Drosophila melanogaster: one gene and its partners. The protein of the gene in region 1 interacts with the protein of each later gene in a pairwise test. Each region holds a gene or a part of one and is shown in the gene's direction. Other genes may lie near its edges.

The links. The genes of interacting proteins can lie anywhere in the genome.
Region 2: the proteins of org-1 (region 1) and CG6470 interact in a two-hybrid assay, tested with the Drosophila melanogaster proteins (one large-scale study listed by BioGRID).
Region 3: the proteins of org-1 (region 1) and Sidpn interact in a two-hybrid assay, tested with the Drosophila melanogaster proteins (one large-scale study listed by BioGRID).

What each region holds. Positions count from the first base shown.
Region 1 is NC_004354.4:8,448,972-8,456,994, reverse strand, and holds the start of org-1 (optomotor-blind-related-gene-1), read left to right. Parts: upstream 1-1,925; 5' UTR 1,926-2,700; coding exon 2,701-2,863; intron 2,864-4,714; coding exon 4,715-5,103; intron 5,104-5,179; coding exon 5,180-5,412; intron 5,413-5,481; coding exon 5,482-5,638; intron 5,639-5,735; coding exon 5,736-5,897; intron 5,898-6,823; coding exon 6,824-6,891; intron 6,892-7,834; coding exon 7,835-8,023.
Region 2 is NC_004354.4:18,512,329-18,516,798, reverse strand, and holds CG6470 (uncharacterized protein), read left to right. Parts: upstream 1-1,931; 5' UTR 1,932-2,089; coding exon 2,090-2,462; intron 2,463-2,969; coding exon 2,970-3,610; 3' UTR 3,611-3,970; downstream 3,971-4,470. Other genes in the region: HisRS (Histidyl-tRNA synthetase), read right to left, coding at 1,117-1,209.
Region 3 is NT_033779.5:19,026,110-19,031,280, forward strand, and holds Sidpn (uncharacterized protein), read left to right. Parts: upstream 1-1,600; 5' UTR 1,601-1,947; coding exon 1,948-1,996; intron 1,997-2,691; coding exon 2,692-3,003; intron 3,004-3,191; coding exon 3,192-4,354; 3' UTR 4,355-4,671; downstream 4,672-5,171. Other genes in the region: hook, read right to left, coding at 4,894-5,132.

The sequences.
Region 1 (8,023 bases):
AGTAGACTGTTGTAAATTATCTTAAATTAAAAATATTTAGTCGTCATTTAATTTCGAAATTCCTTTAAGCCAAACGCTTCGATTTGGAATCTAAATTTACGATACAATAATAAACCTTTAGTCGATTTCGTCCATGATGGAAATTTTACAACAAATGCATTACACTCATTTATATATAATATTTATATAATCGATAAAAAAGATCGAATATCGAATTTATGAATCATTTAAGTAATTTCTTCGAAGCAGTTAGCATTTCATTTCCAATTGTTTACACTCAAACAAATAATTAACGACTAAAATGGCATGGCCAATGCCATAACAATTTTTCAAATTTATGTATTATTTATGGACTGCATGGTACGATCTGCTGCGATCGAAATGCTTCTGAAAATGCCAAAAAAAAGGGGAAAAAAAATTAACTCAAAATAATTGTAAACAGTAGTGCGGCAAACGAAAATCAGGGAAAAACATTAACAAGCAGTTGTTCCATAAATCCAGGACGCAACTGGATGCGTAGATTTATATGGAAGGGGTGAGTAGGAGGGAGGGTAAACAAATCGATTCACTTGGAGACCCCGTGTGCCAGGTAACATATACTACTACATGCTATATATAATAGATATACCATCTATATGTATACATATGTATGTACCCACTAATTGGAATGGCCGTGGCTGATGAAAAGCAGACGCACCCGGTTAATCGGGCTGTTTCACTTTGATCGGTCCAGTTTTCTCGGCTTCCCCGGATCTCCATCTCCGCTGGGCCCACATTCCGGGCTCCAATGGCCAACAGACGCCATTTTCGACCGCCCATCTCACTCCCTCTTGTGGCGGAGGTGGTGGCCGCCGCTACACTGAGCGCAAATGTTGCTCACAGCTAATTCAAATTTCGTATGAAAAATTAGCAGTAATCCTTTTTTTTATGTATTAAGTATTAATTCATATTCTCTTCGTATTTCTTATGTTTAATGCAATTTTTTCCAAAAACTTATGATTATTCCAAATGAATTGAATTTTTTGGGTGCGCCTTGCCAACGTCTTAATATTCCGTTTTCCTTTTTACGGTTTATTTAGTGTCGAGGTTATGGCGCAATTTGTATTTATGGCCAACAGCAGCAGCAACATCTCGGCTGCACTGCAGCATTGAGCGGAGCACCGCGAGATCCACGAGCAACCAGCACCACCATGCGTGCGGCAGTCCAATTAAAAGCGTTTTCCAAATGAGGCCCATGACTCTGGTCGGCCACCCACTCCACGGGCCACGCCCACTGATCAGCGCGCCCCCCTGAAAAAAAAGAGAATGAAGAAAACAATATGCAAAAGTGGGGATCACCTGCTCCTCCTCCTTCTTGATCTTCTCCACCGCCTGCTGTTTATGGTCAAAGACCACGCCCCTTCAAAAAAAAAAAAAAAAACAAGAGAGAAGTAAACAGTGGAGCAGAAATTAGTGAAACGTGTGGAGAGTACAGTGATCTATATACTCTAAAGGATACCTCTATACTATTTACATGCATTAAGTTATTAATATGATCAAATTAGATTACATAAATATAACTATGTTAAGCATAGTTTGCATAAAACCAAACAAAGAGTTGCAGATAGCAAACCCCAAGTGTTCACCAAGTTCTAGGCCTCACTGTAGCCACATCTGGTAAATGCCTTGCGCGCACCCTACGCTCAATTCTGCGCGGCATATTCATCCACTTGATACTAGGCTAGATCCCAGGCGAGCCAACACATGTCGGTGCGATCCAAGGAGGAGTAGAAGGAGGAGAAGGAGAAGGAGGAGGAGGAGGAGATGGAGGAGGAGGAGGTGGCCGTGCGGCCATTGGTGGATCGATTGGTGCGGCTGGCGAGTCTAAATTTGGATGCTGCGGCCGGCGATTGGCGGATAGATTTCTCGATTTGGGGAGATGGTCCGTACAATGCGGCATCTTGGGATCTCGAGAGGCAGCGATGCATCTGCCCAGCAGCAGCAGCAGCAGCAGCCGCAGCAGTAGTTGTTCTCATTCGGCGGACCAGCGCTTGACGGAACGGATGTGTGCGTGATCAGAGATCTAGGCATCCAGAGATCGCATTCGAAATCAGATCAGATCGATATATCCGCGAGATATAAACATAGGATACTATACGGGATAATCAGTTCGCACTTGGCCGGAAGAAGGTGGCAATTGAGACAACTCAACGCTTTCTGCCAGTCGAATTAGAAAGAAAACAAATAAAAGAAGTTCAAGTCAATCAATCAGCTAACACAGGGAATTAAAAACAAAAAACAAAAAAACAAAAAACAAAAAACTACAATCGGGCAAATTTTCGCCAGTCAACGCGATCGGGCCATAAAAACAATTCGAAGAGAATTAATTTGATTTTTCATTCGATTCTTGAACTCGATCTCGATTCTGATTGACAACAGCGAAAGGTTGGCGTTGGATTTTCGCACCACTACATACTTTTTTTTTGCAGTGCACAGTGAGTGAGTGAGTGAGTGAATGAGTGAGTGATTGTGTGTGGGTGCAATAATCAAATTTGACAACTGCGCGAATAACGTTCGAGATCAAAACAAATTGTGCCGGAATAAATGGAATAAATGGGCCAAGAACTCGCTGCGATTTCCTTTCTTCCACTGTGAGCATCACATATCCAGCCATCATATATATATATCATATATATATATATTCCAACGATCACGCTCGCCATGACGCACCTGATGGGCCCCACTGAGTGCGCCGGCGCCATGATGACCACCACATCCATGCAGTTCCTGGACACCAGCCTAACGGACTACAACTGCTATGGCAACGACTACTGGACATCGCCGTACATGACCGGCGGACTCAGTCCCATGAAGCAGATCGAAGGTGAGTCGTTTGAGTTGACTTAAGCTGGAGAGGATTAGGCAACTCTACCGCGGAGTATTTTAAATCGGATATTAAGATATTAGGTTGTGTACCTTTAAAAGTCGCAAACAAGCATACAAGTAGATTTTTAATATGTTATAACTTTTGCATGAACTTTTACTTTTGTTTAGACTTTTAAGTCCTGTAAAGTATATTTTTTTTTTACTATCTGTTTCAAAACTTAAACTAGAAAATAGGCTTTTAGTTTATATTAGCATACTACTAGTTAAACATATTTTTCCAAGATTTTATTAGCTTTACCTTTCAGTTCAATCGAATGTACAACTAAAACTTCTTAAATTCAAATATATGCTTTAAATATTTATCAAAGAAGTATCGCGTAGCAAACAAAAGGCGAAGCAACAAAAAAGTCATATTTTCCATTTGACTATTCGATATTATGTTTTTTGTTCAAAAATCAGGCAATGGAATTTTGCTAGCAAACAAATGTATATATTCCATATCATTTGTCTGCCTGCAAGTGACCCAAAAAACTGAAATGGAATCCGTTTGCGATAGAGTAATTAGCAAAATACACCGAGCATGGCAGCGGCGGCACAAATGACATCCAAAAGTTTAAAAAAAAAAAAACTGAGAAACTGAGAAACTGAAAACCAGAGAATCGGAAAACCAAAAGATCAGAAAACCAGAAAACCCGATCAATTAGCTCAGAATTCCCGGATCCCCGAGATTTCAAGTGGCATTTCTCTCGTGTTTGTTGTTGTTTGATGTTGTGCATGTGACAGAAAAACGATTTGTTGTGCCAAACGTTAATTGATTTTAGAATTCATTCGTGCAGCAAAAAATGCTAAAAAAAAAAAATCGAGGAAAATGGGCAACTATTTAGCGCTAAAGCGGCTAAATGACCTGTCATGGGTCATTCGCGGCATTGATTGCCATTGCGGCAATTCCCGCAACTGCGAGCCCAGTGACAATTAATTGCTGAAAATCTCATCTCATCCCATGCAATCCCATACCATACCATACCATACCATTTTACAGGCATCCCCCGAAAAGGGGAGATCCTAAATTTAGAGCATGCAACTCAATCAGCAGCCGCCGCTACTCAGACGCCTCTTTTATAATTGGACATGTTGTCCCATTTGCCCCAAACTCGCAACTCGAAACGTACAAAAAACAAAAAAAACAAAAAAAAAGAAGTCGGTGTGTGGATATATCATCAAGTGATATTATTACAAGACTCCTTTAATCAGAATTCAGAACTGTGAACTGCGAGCTCCAGAAGTGAGAAATCTGCGCCGGCGTGGCGTCTACGTGCTTTCTGCCCCACTTTCTCATTTAAATCGCATAAATCACATTGAGTATGAAATTAGCAAATCCCAGCAGCTATATACATGCATATATATTTTATATATATAAAACCCATTCACTTGCTATAGAATTTATACGCGCTACGTGTTTGATTTATAGTCGCATATTTTCCGCCCATTTGTCAGTGGGATATGAAAAAATACAGGGGCTTGAATTGAGATATCTTCATTATTAATTAGTTTATAAAGGGATAAGGATAGTTTATAGGGATATCCAAACTATAGTTTTCTTTAAAGTAAATCGAGTTTTGTATAGATTTTTTACATATTTTACATAGCCACATGGATTACTTGATCATTCTTCACTTTTAATGAGCAGCATTTTATGTTACATTACTTTTACTACTTAACCGCCACTTTAACCGCGACTTTAACCCGCACTTTAACCACCACTTTAACCAGCACTTTAACCACAACTTTAACCCACACCTTAACCTCCACTTTAACCCGCACTGTAACACCAACTTGTGCTTCACTGCAGCCTGCATCCAAACGGCTGGCAAGGATCGCAGCTCGTACAAGCCGCTGGAGCAGATCGATGCCAAATTGGCGGACATCGAGACGCACAGTACAGGCAGCACTGGCACCGCGAACAGCAACAGCAGCACCAGCAGCATCTCGAATCCCAGTTGCCCGGATCAGTCGTCGTCGTCGTCATCGTCGTCCGTATCGCTGCCAACCGATTATGCCGGCGTACACAGTGAAGCCTCGATGGCACCAACAGCCGGCGGCACGGCAGTCACAACGACATCAGCTGGCGGAGTCAGTGCATCCACCGCGTCCAAAAAGTTCAAGGGACAGCACAAAAAAGACAACAACAGTGCGGAGAACGGTACAGTGAAGCCCAATAGCCATAATATCAGCAAAGGTGTAAGTAAATTCAACGATGGGAAACGAAATAAATAATAGATCATTTAAAATATATGATTTCCAATTGATAATTAAGGAATCGGAGCCAGTGCATCCATCGCTGGCCCAGGCCATTGTGGTGCTGGAGACGAAGGCGCTGTGGGATCAGTTCCATGCCCAGGGCACCGAAATGATCATCACCAAGACGGGCCGACGCATGTTTCCCACGTTTCAGGTGAGGATCGGTGGTTTGGATCCACATGCCACCTACATTTGCATGATGGACTTTGTGCCCATGGATGACAAACGCTATCGCTACGCCTTTCACAAGTAAGTTAATGTTAAAAAGCCATGGCCACATGGAATTCGATGAAAATGATGCACTTCAATTTGCAACAGCTCCTGCTGGGTGGTGGCTGGCAAGGCGGATCCCATTTCCCCGCCCAGGATTCATGTGCATCCCGACTCGCCAGCCGTCGGCTCCAATTGGATGAAGCAGATCGTGTCCTTTGACAAATTGAAGCTCACCAATAACCAGCTGGACGAAAATGGACATGTACGTTTCATTACTTATATAGATAGATAGATAGATATATAGATAGTTAGATAGATAGATAAATAGGTATATTCAAATCCTGCCTCTTCATCTCCAGATCATTCTGAACTCCATGCATCGCTACCAGCCGCGTTTCCATCTGGTTTATCTGCCACCGAAGAACGCCTCCTTGGATGAGAACGAGCACTCCAGCCACTTTCGCACTTTCATCTTTCCGGAAACGAGCTTTACGGCCGTAACTGCCTACCAGAATCAGCGGGTGAGCATGATATATATATGATATATATATTGTTAATATATGATATATATTGTTAATCGAAATATGCTGGTTGCTATTTGTAAACATTTACCATAATGATTTATATGTATTATCAATAAGTTCATCTTGGCATTCGAAGCGGCCAAAAAGGCCGCGACCATTTTGTGCCATTTTGGCCTTATTGTTTATGTTTTTCCCATAATTTATAACAAACGGCGGCCAAAGCTAGCACAATTTCAACCATAGCGAATATATATATGTATATATAACAGCAATTGGAAATGCGAGCACAGACCATGCAGATACTCTAACCCGAAAAAAAAAATATTAAAAATAAAAAAGTAGCATACACAAATACACAAGATTTTAGAAACCACGTTTCCAATGCACTGTGGCTTTCATTCGAAAAATGGGGAAGATAAGATTATCAGGTGGGATTGATATCAGGTGGGTGCATTGATATTAGTAATGAACAGTGAACAGCATATCTAATCGCAAGTTGAAAGAACTCTCGACATACATATGTACATTGTATACCCTCGGTTTTCCACATTTTTTTGTCTTGGTTGTGATTCATAATGATGGCCAGGGGGAGGGGGAGGGGGGAGGGAATTTTGTGGGTGGCTAAAAATATAACCATAGACATCGTTGGGGCAAGTATTTAAATTATTTATGTGGGGGTGTTAACACTTTTTCCACCCGCCCTCGAATTTATCGCAAATCATTTTTACCCCGCCGCCAGCGGAATGCCACATATGCCACATAAACATATTTTCTTTTATTATTTTTTTTTTTTTTTAATTTTTTTTTCACTAATTTGTTGGGTATTTAATTTATTTGTTTGGCCCGCCAGCTTGTCGGCATGCCTCAAGCGCTTTTCCAGTCGAATAAAAATATTTTCCACCAATTTTCCGGCCGTCTTGCAGGTGACACAGCTGAAGATCTCCAGCAATCCATTCGCCAAAGGCTTTCGGGATGATGGCACCAACGATGTGTAAGTAGTTCCAAATCTTTTTGTTATTTTAATTTTTTTTTATTTTTACCTATTAACTATGAAAGCTGAAATCAGCTTGCAACTATATTTTAATGCGATTTCATTTGTCTGCGAAAATGTGGCAAAGTAATTTGATTGTCTAGCATTGTGTTAAAAAAAAAAAAAACATGTGCTTAAAATTAGTTCTAGATTTTTGACACGAGCATTTCAAAATGCTGAATGAATAAATTTCAAAATATATATAATAATAATAGTACACAATTTTCGAACGTCTAGAAGTAGTATAAATGTAAATATGTAATAATAATAACAAATGATAAACAAATTGACCCACTTTTCAAAACTTGAAATACACAAATGTCCAAAGTGGAGCTAGACATTCGGTCGACATTCGGCATAGATATTCCCGGAAAATATTGAAAAACTTCAAATAACGCAACAATAACTCAAAAACAAAAGAACTTCAAAATGCCGAGAATGTGAAGCTGGAATGGAAATGGAAATGGGAATGGTTTAGGGAATGGGAATGGGAATGGGAATGGGACTACTGATGATGATGGTGATGGGTGGACTGACAGATGTGCCGGGCGGCATAAACAATTTATTCGAAGGGCTTTTCATATTTGTCGAACTTGCCAGGCCGCGACTTGGTAGCATAGTGTAAACAAATTCCCCAATTTTGTTTACGATCGTGGTGCTTAGGCAACTTGTTTATTACGAGGAAATACTTCAAATAATTTTCATTTCTTTTCTCCGAGTGTTTGGCTTATGGCTTTCGGCCTGGTTATGTTACAAATCATAACACTAATATTTATAATATTGCACGTTTTTACACTTGGCCAACTGAGCAGCATTCGCTGTAGATTTAAGCTGTAAATGTTGCTTCATGTTAGTTATATATTGTATATATATTTTTATAAATTGCCATTGTTTGACATTATAGAACCACTGGCGGTGGCAGCAGCATGTCCTCCATGAGTCACGAAAGTCAGGCGCGCATGAAGCAGCAACAGCAGCAGCAGCAGCAGCAGCAGCAGCAACTGCAGCAGCAACAGCAACAGCAGCAGCAACTCAAGGAGCGAACGGCAGCAACCAGCAACTTTGGCCTGAGTTGCAGCGAACTGGCCATTGA
Region 2 (4,470 bases), about 10 Mb from region 1:
CATAGCCCAAATCACATGTTGCAGTCGTCAAGTCTTGGATCGGTTGATTGTGGTCTAGCAGGTTTTTGATATAATCGCTATAACCACCATGTGCCTTTTGTACATGCCTCCTGTTTGACCAGTCGCTCTCTTTTCAGTCAGTCAGTCGGTCATAGAGCACTCACTTTGGTGATGCAAATCCAGCTATTAGTCTCATTTAGCTACTTGACTTTAATTAAATCTAAATCTAAAATTATGAAATTAAATCTTTTTTCGATTACTGAACATGCAAGCTTCAACTTCAAATCTGAAAGATATCCTAAGTATCCCAATTGGATTATTTAATACCTGTACAATACTTGTTCTAATTGGACAGCGTCTAGAACATCAAAGAGTACAGGAAAAATCACTTTAAGGTCTTATTAACACAAAAGATTATTGAGTTTTCTAGAAGTCTCCAACTGTTTTCAGCACAGTTTCAAGGAAATCCAGCCAAAGATTTGAAGTGAGCATCAGTAGACTTACATCAGCAAGAGATTAATATAAACAATTGCTTCTATTAGTCACAGCTTCGGACAGCACTGCTAATTTAAGCTACTTTCCAGCCAAATAGTCGGGACAATAGTTTGGCATCACTGTGCACAACACTAACACACACGCACACAGAAGCAGTGCATTTGCCGTTGGCCAGAGCGAGACAACAATAACAACAGAGTGGCACGAATGTGCGAATGCGAATGTAAATGTGAAAGTCTGCGCGCTCCTTTAATTTGCCGTTTTTCCTTTGCACCGCTCTTCCGATGTTACATTCATCTAATTATTACACTGCAAAAACGAAGATTTCGAACAACTCCAAATGCCAGCGCAGCATGTGTGTGTTTTTTGTTATTTCCCTTATTCTCAACTGCATGACGATCTGATGAAATATGTATGCGAGTGGGATTTCGAATTTGATGACGAAAGCAGGGCCGGGAATTACGGCAACAATTGCACTTATTCCATTGTACACACACAAAGGGGGATGACACTGGAAGGCGGACGCGTTGCTGACGGGTGGGGGGGTTGGATGGTGGAAGTGGTAGTGCTGGGTGGAGGGAGGGAGTCGGTTTCCAACTGGAAGTACGACCAAAAACTGACCTTCTCCTTCGACTCCTTCGCTGCTTTCAATTGACGGACGAGATCGCCTTGCACTTTGATTTGCTCCAGAATCTGCTCACGCGTATCACTCATATTCCGTGCTCGATGGCCAAAAATGAAAAACGGCAAACGGTTGACAGTCCACTGCAAAAGGCGGGCGCGCGGCGTTTCAATCGTCTCGAATCGACACGGCGATTTATGCTGTCTTTTCCAGCTTTCAGCTGCTTTTTCTGCGCTGCTGGCCAAAAAAAAAATTCGCACGCGGTGGTCAATGTGACCGTTCGTCGCGTGGTGGGAAAACGTGCGCTAGTGCGAACTCAAACCGTGGTTGATAACTGGGCTGGCGGACATGTAAAGTGTATAATTTATAATTTATTAACAACAATCAACACACGAATGCTGGCCACTGTTAGTAATATTAACTGCACTACAATTTATTAGCTAATTTTATCGTTTTTTTTTTTTTTTAAATAAAAATGTTCATGTCACTTGATTGCGTAAAGTTGATCTTGTTTGTTTTTTGTTTTAAACAAGTTCAAATAAGTTAAAATAAGTTGATTCGATTACAGCACAAACTTATCTATCCTAAAATCATTAAATAGAATATTTTTTGTCAAAACTACATATATTACAAATCATCAATTAAAAAAAATATATTTTTTTTTAAATAGCAAATCCTGAAATATTTTAAGAAGCGTTTTTTGTTTAAATTGTTGTTTATTGTTAAATTGTTTAAAAATCGAAAAATTCGAAATGAAATATAAGATTGGAAAAATGTTTTTTACTTCAACATTTAAAATTTCCCTGCCCAGCAGGCGATGTGCTTAGTTTCATTGGTATATATTTAAGCATCACCCTTAGATTCAGTATTCCTTCGACACCGACTGACTACAAACTGAAATTAAAAAAATAGCATTGAAAATTAATAAGACACGCTACACATACACAAACACACACGCACACCACACACGAGATGAACAAGCCGCAAAAGCCCATCAAGGTGAAGCGCGCCAAGCGGACCGGATGCTCCAGGATTCAGCCGCAGGAATTCGTGGAGGCTCAGGTGGAGAACGCGCGCAGGGCGGTGGAGCGCAAGCTGATCTACCTGTCCGAGTCGAACAGAGCCAGTGCATCCACTCGGGCGGCCAAGCGAAGCACGGCTGGCGCAGGCGGAGGAGCAGGGCGGGAAGGATCGAGCATGGCTGGCCATGCCCATGGTGAGCGTCGCAGGCGCAGCAAGAGGAGTCTGCTACACGCTCCAGCTCAGGAAGAGACCGACGAGGAGGAGAGTTCGCCGCTGGAGAAGACGAACAACTACGATAACAGAAGACGCAGCAGTTGCAATCGTAAGTTACAAATACATTTGCATATCGTCGATTTGGGATGCACCTTTCTATATGATCTTGGGTATTATTCAAGCTAGAGACACCAAATTTGGTATACAATACGTTATTGGTTATTAGAACTCTTTAAAATCTTGAAACAGCAGTATATATTTATCATCATTACATATATCATCTACTTAAGACCCTTCTTTCTATATGATCTTGGTGCTTAGTTAGGCAAGAGACACCAAATTTGGTGTACAGTACTTTATTGGTTTATTATACTCATATAAATCACGAAACATAAGTTTCAAGTGCAATTTATTTTAAAACAACGATTACAATTGTAGGTTATTAAATATAATCGATTTGGACACCTGTTATCTATATGATCTTGGGCCTTATTAAAGCTACTAACACCAAATTTGGTATATAGTACTTAACTGATTAATATAGTATATTAAAAGTGATATTAATTTAAGATCTCATATTGAGTTAACCAATTCTCCATTCTCCATTCTCCAACAGTATTGCTATCTCCTCGTCGCAATGGCCTCACGCCCCGGAACTACGAGGCCGAGGCCGAGGCAGCGGAAATGGAAGCCATTATGGCCGCACAGCAAGCCTCCAACGGAACGACGAAGCCCGATCATGATGAAGGAGATGGCGGGGAGTATCAGGGCGGACCGTTTGGCCGACTGCAGCTGAAGCCGCTGGGCAGCTATGCCACGGACCAGCAGCTGCCCAGCTACTCGTGCGGCGTGTGCGGTGCCAAGTTTCACATCCGATCGCTGCTGGGCGCCCACCGGCACACCCACGACGATGACTTCAAGGTGCGCTTCCGTGCACGGCGACCGCGGGAGAGCAGAACCACCCTGACCACCGTCCATTTGTGCAAGTACTGCGATCGCTCCTTCGACCTGGAACGCACGCTGCACATCCATCTGCTGAGCTACTGCAAGAAGATACCGCCGCAGCAGCGCCGCAAGCTGGCCTTCACGGAACTGGCGCACGAGAAGAAGGCGCCGTTGCCCAACTTTCAGCGGGCGCAGCAGCCGGTTCACCACCAGGGAAACAGTGCCACCAACCAGCAGGATCAGATGACCCAGCAGGAAAAACTTCAGAAGATTATCATGCGCGAGTCGGCAGTGCACGAGCGCTGGCGCTAGTCGTCCTCATTACCAATCTTCACCAGAAACTGGATGCAGAACCAACGCTTGCTTCCAAACACCAGAAGAATCCATTGAAACGAAAGGAAAATTGTCAAGTGCAGGGCGTATGCAGCTCAACTGTATTTGATTTGTTTACCAGGATCATCAAAATTTGTGGAATTGAAGGCAAAATTATTAGAAGTATGAATTGAGCACAATGACACGATTAGTGGGAGACTCACCTGTTCTGAAGACCGAAACACACACTGGCGTTGAATAGTCACATTCCACAAACGACGGTCAATTAAAACTAAATTAAGAGTCCCCAGCACGTTGATGCAAATGTATTGAATATAATTAAATATTTGAACTAAACAGAAGATTTACTTGCAATGAATTGTCATTTCTTAGATACTTGGCGGAAAGGTAAAAGAATCATAATCCATTGAGGCTTTAAAAGCATAATAAGATACTAAAATGGGTATATATATTTTTAAATTTATCGAAAAAATCGATGAGAAATCGCTTCCTCTCTAGTCCACTATCTAATATGTAAAGAAGAATGATATCGATGTATTACAGAAGCGCTTCGATACCCAGCTCGAGCAATCGATACGATAGCTGTGCATCGATACATTCGCTCAATGAAGCTGACTGCACGCACGTCCGTTGCGTCACCGGCGCTACCTTGCCTTACCGTTTACCGTTCACCGTTCACCGTTCCGTTCCGTGCCGAGCTTTGGCGGTCAAGCTCAAAGTTTCTGTGCGCTATCTCTTTCGCGCTTGCGGCGGCGGCGGTGGCGTTGGCGGTAGTGGGTCGTGTGCAGGGAATACAAGATAGGCGATGAGCGGCAACTCGGGCGGATCGAAGCCATCAG
Region 3 (5,171 bases), on another chromosome or scaffold:
TTATCCTGCCAACCTTGTGACGCATTATGTTACGTACAAATTCGATTGGTTTTGGATACACGCAGTGTCGGAGTCCTGTGAACCCGCCACATGTGGGCGCACTGCAGCAATGTGGAATTTCCATATTGTATGGCACGCAGTTTGGGGCACTTGTTGTTGGCCGCATTTGGACTGTTTAAATCGACGGGAATTGCAATGCGTTGCGCACCTTGTTAAGCCGCCGCTGATGTGGATGTGTGCCCGCCCACATCCCTGCCAATTTGTAGCCATCAACTTTGTTGCCACGGCATTGCGCCCCCAAAAACTCGCACCAGCAATCGTATTTATCTAATAGTCCTTTCTGCTGCCGCTGTCACAGTTGTCTTCGTCTGGATCCAGCCACTACTGCCATTCCTACCATTCCTGCTCCTGCTCCTCGCTGGCTCCCTCCTCCGTTTTCCGCTGGCCTGGCTTATTATTTGCCACGACTGCTGCGCCGCAGAAGTTTCGCCTCGTTGGTGTTATGATTTCGATGCGGGCAGCCGAATGGCAAAGTCAGCGACAGCAAACACCCACACGCCCGCTCATCCATCCATCCATTCAGCCATCCCACCCCCACTGACCCCGCACGACCCACAGCCAGTCGGTCGAAGGAGCAGGAGCTGCTTCGTCGCCCGCAGGCCACAACCCCGTACCAGATCCCGGCTCCGGCTAACCCGCCGTTGACGCAGTCCACCCAGTGAACAAAGTGTGCAGCACGTTTTCGGTCGACAGTTTGTTGTGGCGAGAAAAAAAGGTAATATGAATGATTTGGAATCAAATAAATATTTTGCTTAAAATAAAAACTAATTAAGTCTTGCAATCTAATAATAAGTTATTCATTTAGCCTGCTTTAGTTAATCAATTAAATTGTTAGCCTACACCATGCCCTGAAAAGTATGCTTTGCATTTTCTGCCAAAATAACCCTCATCCGCCATGTGTGCTGGGTTGTTTCATATTTGCGCCTAAGCGAATTGATTTGTATGCCTGTGTATGAGTGAGTTCCTGTGTCTGTGACTGAGGGTGTGCCAGTGTGTGTGTGTGTGTGTGTGTGAAAGCCAGACATGGTCACGCCGTCCGTCCAAATGGCGGCACGTCGATCCGGCTTGTCGCTTGGGCTGCCTGACATTTGCCGCAGCCAGCGCGCCACCAATCCCTCATCCCCTTGCTACACTCAGCCCCCTCCCTCCGCCCACGGGCCCATCCACCCAACGCCCACTGGCAACATGCCTCCGCTGCGTCGTTAAGCTCTTCGCCAAATCTATGTGTGTTTGTGTATGTGTGTGGAGGTCGGTGGGGCAACCATTACCACAACCACCATTAACGTGGCAGGCAGCCAGGCGTTGCTGTTGCTGCCACATCCACAGGCTTTGTTGCTGTTGCCGCTCCTGCTGATTGCTAGAGCTGTTGTTGTTGCTATTGTTGTTGTTGCTGCTGCTGTCGCTGATGTTTTTGTTGTTGTTCCTTTTATTGTCGGTTGACTCCAATCTGCTTTGGTTGCTGCGCCACACGACGATGGCTCGTGCCACTGCCAACAGCAAAAGCAGCAGCAGCAGCAGCAACATGAGCTAACCAAGCATTTCAGTCGGGAAATTTTGCACAAGCCAAGCGCACGCGGCAGCGGAAAATCGGAAAACCCCATTGCCAGCCAGACAGCCGACAGGCGACGAAGTGAAAAGTCGCAATTGTTTCGCTGCTCGCCGTCAGTTAGCCGTGAATCCTCGAACAGAACGGACGCGTGTCCTCCTCGTCGAGTGGAATTTGAATCCTGATTCCACCACCAAAAAGACGTGATTGTTGGCGGGTGGATTCTAAACTGAAAGTTTCGAAAATATTAAACCCAAATCAAGCCAAATTGAGAAAACGAGGCATTTCATTCTAATTGACGACGGGCAACGAATTCTTTTGGATTTCGTAAAAATGAGAAAATGACAGCAAAACGTGATAAGGATTACTCAAAAAATAAATCAGCACCTGGTAATAAACAAGTTTGTGCTTTATAAGTTGAATTCTATCAGAAAATAGGACTTAGAAGTTCAAAATGATAAGCTGCTCTTTTAAACGTGTCCTAAACTTCTAAAGTGAAATGTGACTAATAAATATTTGGCAAACAAAATTATAGAAAACAAGTTTCCACAAAAAAAAAACGTCCCACATGGCTCACCATTGTTTAATATATTTATATTTACTTAGTGACCATTAAACAAAAGTTAAAATAATAGAAAACATACTTTTGCAAAGAAAAAGCCACCTGTGGCCAAGAAGTATCAAATTAAATAATTTTCAAACAATAAAAAATTTTTTTGATTACTTTTATAATAATCTTAAACAAAAAGCAAAATGAAATAAAAGCACCAAAGTGTCTTGAAACTAAACATGAAGCTCCATTATGCTCACAACTCGGAACTCGCAACCTCAACTCAAAAGAATTTCATTTGAGTTTGATGATATATAGATATAGATGTTTAATTTTAAAACCGAAGTTCGTTGAATCAACAAAAAATTGATAATAAGCAAAATAATGTAACTTGAAAAACTGAACATGAGAATTTCAACTTCAAAAAGTTCTGAAACGAACGAGATAACTTTGTTTATAAATGATTAAATTACAAAAAACTTTCAGGTTATAGCGATAATTGTATTAATTATTGACCCTTCTGTATTTCCGCCAGGCATCGGATTCACCGCCGCCGGCTCAACTAATGGCAGCGGCATAAAGTCCATCGGGCTGGTGAGCTCAACGCAGAATGTGACTTCGTCGCAGGACATCAGCAAGCGGACAAACAAACCACTCATGGAGAAGCGCCGGCGGGCGCGAATCAACCAGAGCCTGGCCATCCTGAAGGCCCTCATCCTCGAGTCCACCAAGACCCAAAATGCCAAGAACGGCGAGGGCCAGGCGAAGCACACCAAGCTGGAGAAGGCGGACATCCTGGAGCTAACCGTTCGCCACTTTCAGCGGCATCGCAATCTCGACGATCCCAGTAAGTTTCCATATAAAAGTAAAAATTTTCGTATTATGACTTTACATTTTCGCTACAAAATGTAATTTTATAAATACATCTTGAAGAACATATCTGTATCTAAAATAAAATTCATTAAATTTAGGACCTAGGCAAACTTCTTATATTGAAACTTAGATAATAACATTCAAATCCTGATTTTCTTTCAGCGGTTAACAAATACAGAGCTGGTTACACGGACTGCGCTCGCGAGGTGGCTCGTTACCTGGCCACCCCGGAACCGCCGCCCATGGGCACCATGCCCACCTTGGCGGAGCCCGGCTCCAAGGCGCGACTGCTGCGCCACCTGGACCAGTGCATAGCCGAGATCGACGTGGAGATCTGTCCCCATTCGACGGCCGCGTTTGCCGAAAGCCCCAGCAGTAGCAGTTGCTTCGACCTGAATCACGGGAAGAAGTCGCAGCCCGAGGAGCATTCGCTGGACTACAGCAGCCAGGATTCGAATCCAGTGGACTACAGCAAGGGTCTGAAAATGGTAGCCGCTGAGCAGAGGACGCTGCCCGTCACGCCAGCACCCCAGGATGAGAACAACAATCGTGGACTCCAGGCGCAGGCGCAAACTCCGATACCAATACAGGTGCAAAGCCAGACACAAGGCCAGACGTCGCCGCATGTAGATGCCGTCGCTCCCAGCGAGCTGAGCTACGAGGAGGATCGCAACAAGGTGTGCGCCAATGTCCTGGAGCAGTACAAGCAACAGCTTAAGGCGCACGTGCAGCAGCAACCAGAGTCCGCCAACGGAGTCCTGGTCCTGCCGCCCCACTATGTCCAGCTGGCAGCGGCCCTTGGCCTTAGTGCCCAGCCGCTGGTGGATCCGATTGCTACCCGAACGGATTTTGAGCGGTTGATAGAGTTGCAACGGGTTCAACCACATTTGGCCGGCAAGTTGAGTCCCAGTTTTCCGGGAGGCTTGGAGGCTGCCCATGTCGCTGCCGCAGCAGCGGCTTATGCCAACAGCATGGCTGTGGCCGCTTCAGCAGGAGCCTCAGTTGCGGCAATGGCTACTTCCGGTGCCGGAACGCCAACGGTGCACCAAGAGAGACCTGCCTCGGTGGCAGCGTCTGTCAGTTCCGGCGTCTCGATGTCGGAACTGAAGTCCATGCCCGCCACGCAGCAATCCTCACCAAGATCCGAGAGTGGCATCGGTTCCAATGAGAACGAGGCTCCGGCGACCAGTCCGCGACCCCAGACAAGCAACGCCGCTCGTCAGGCTCTAAGGCAACGCCAGGAGGAGGAGTATCACTACATGGCCCAGGCGGCAGCTGCTGCAGCAGCAGCTGGGCAAGATGAGAGCATGTGGCGACCCTGGTGAGCCGTTAGGTCAGAGATCCTACGTACTAAGTATGTAGACACCACCAGTTAGTTAGGGGAGAACCAGCCGGCAGCCGGCGGTTTGCTGCCCCCACTGATCGCCAAGTAGAGGATGACACCTATTGTTATTACCGCTCGTCTGTGTAGCTCCTGCATCTCTCCAAATTGCATTTCCAACCTGTGCCAACGCCCAAGACTCTCTACAAGATGGGTTCCAGAGCCAAGGAGAGCTACCCTTTCATTTATGTATGCATTTGTTTTTGCCCTGAACTCTGCGTTAAATGTATTTAATTCAATACATAAAGCAAAAATATTTACAAAAAAACTTGAATTCTGTTTTGAAAGTGGTCGGGGTACGGGAAAAATTACGTTCTTGTTTTTGGTAATTCTATTGAATCATTTTAGCAATTTTATTAAGGTATGTACTATAAATACGATATAGATCCTTGCGGAGGTCCAATAAATACTTGTATTATATATTAGTTATATAAGTTTTCAAACAAGAAATGAGACTTAGCCTACTCTTCAGGTTCATGCTTTCTACTTTGATTTCATTGCACTTAGGGATTTGCGGGGCGCGGACTGCCGCTGGCGGGCAAGGAATGTCTGGCCAGAGCCCATCAATATTGCCAGCTTAGAGTCGATTGCATCACGCTGGGCATTGACACCCAGTCTGTAGAAAGCGGAGGTCATGAGTTGCTCCTCCATCACACTCATCTTCGGCTTGGGCTCCTCCTCGACGAGATCAGCACTCTTTTCCAGTACGCTAGCATCCAGAGCTGAAATTTCAACAATTATTGTAAATTTTTGTTATATTT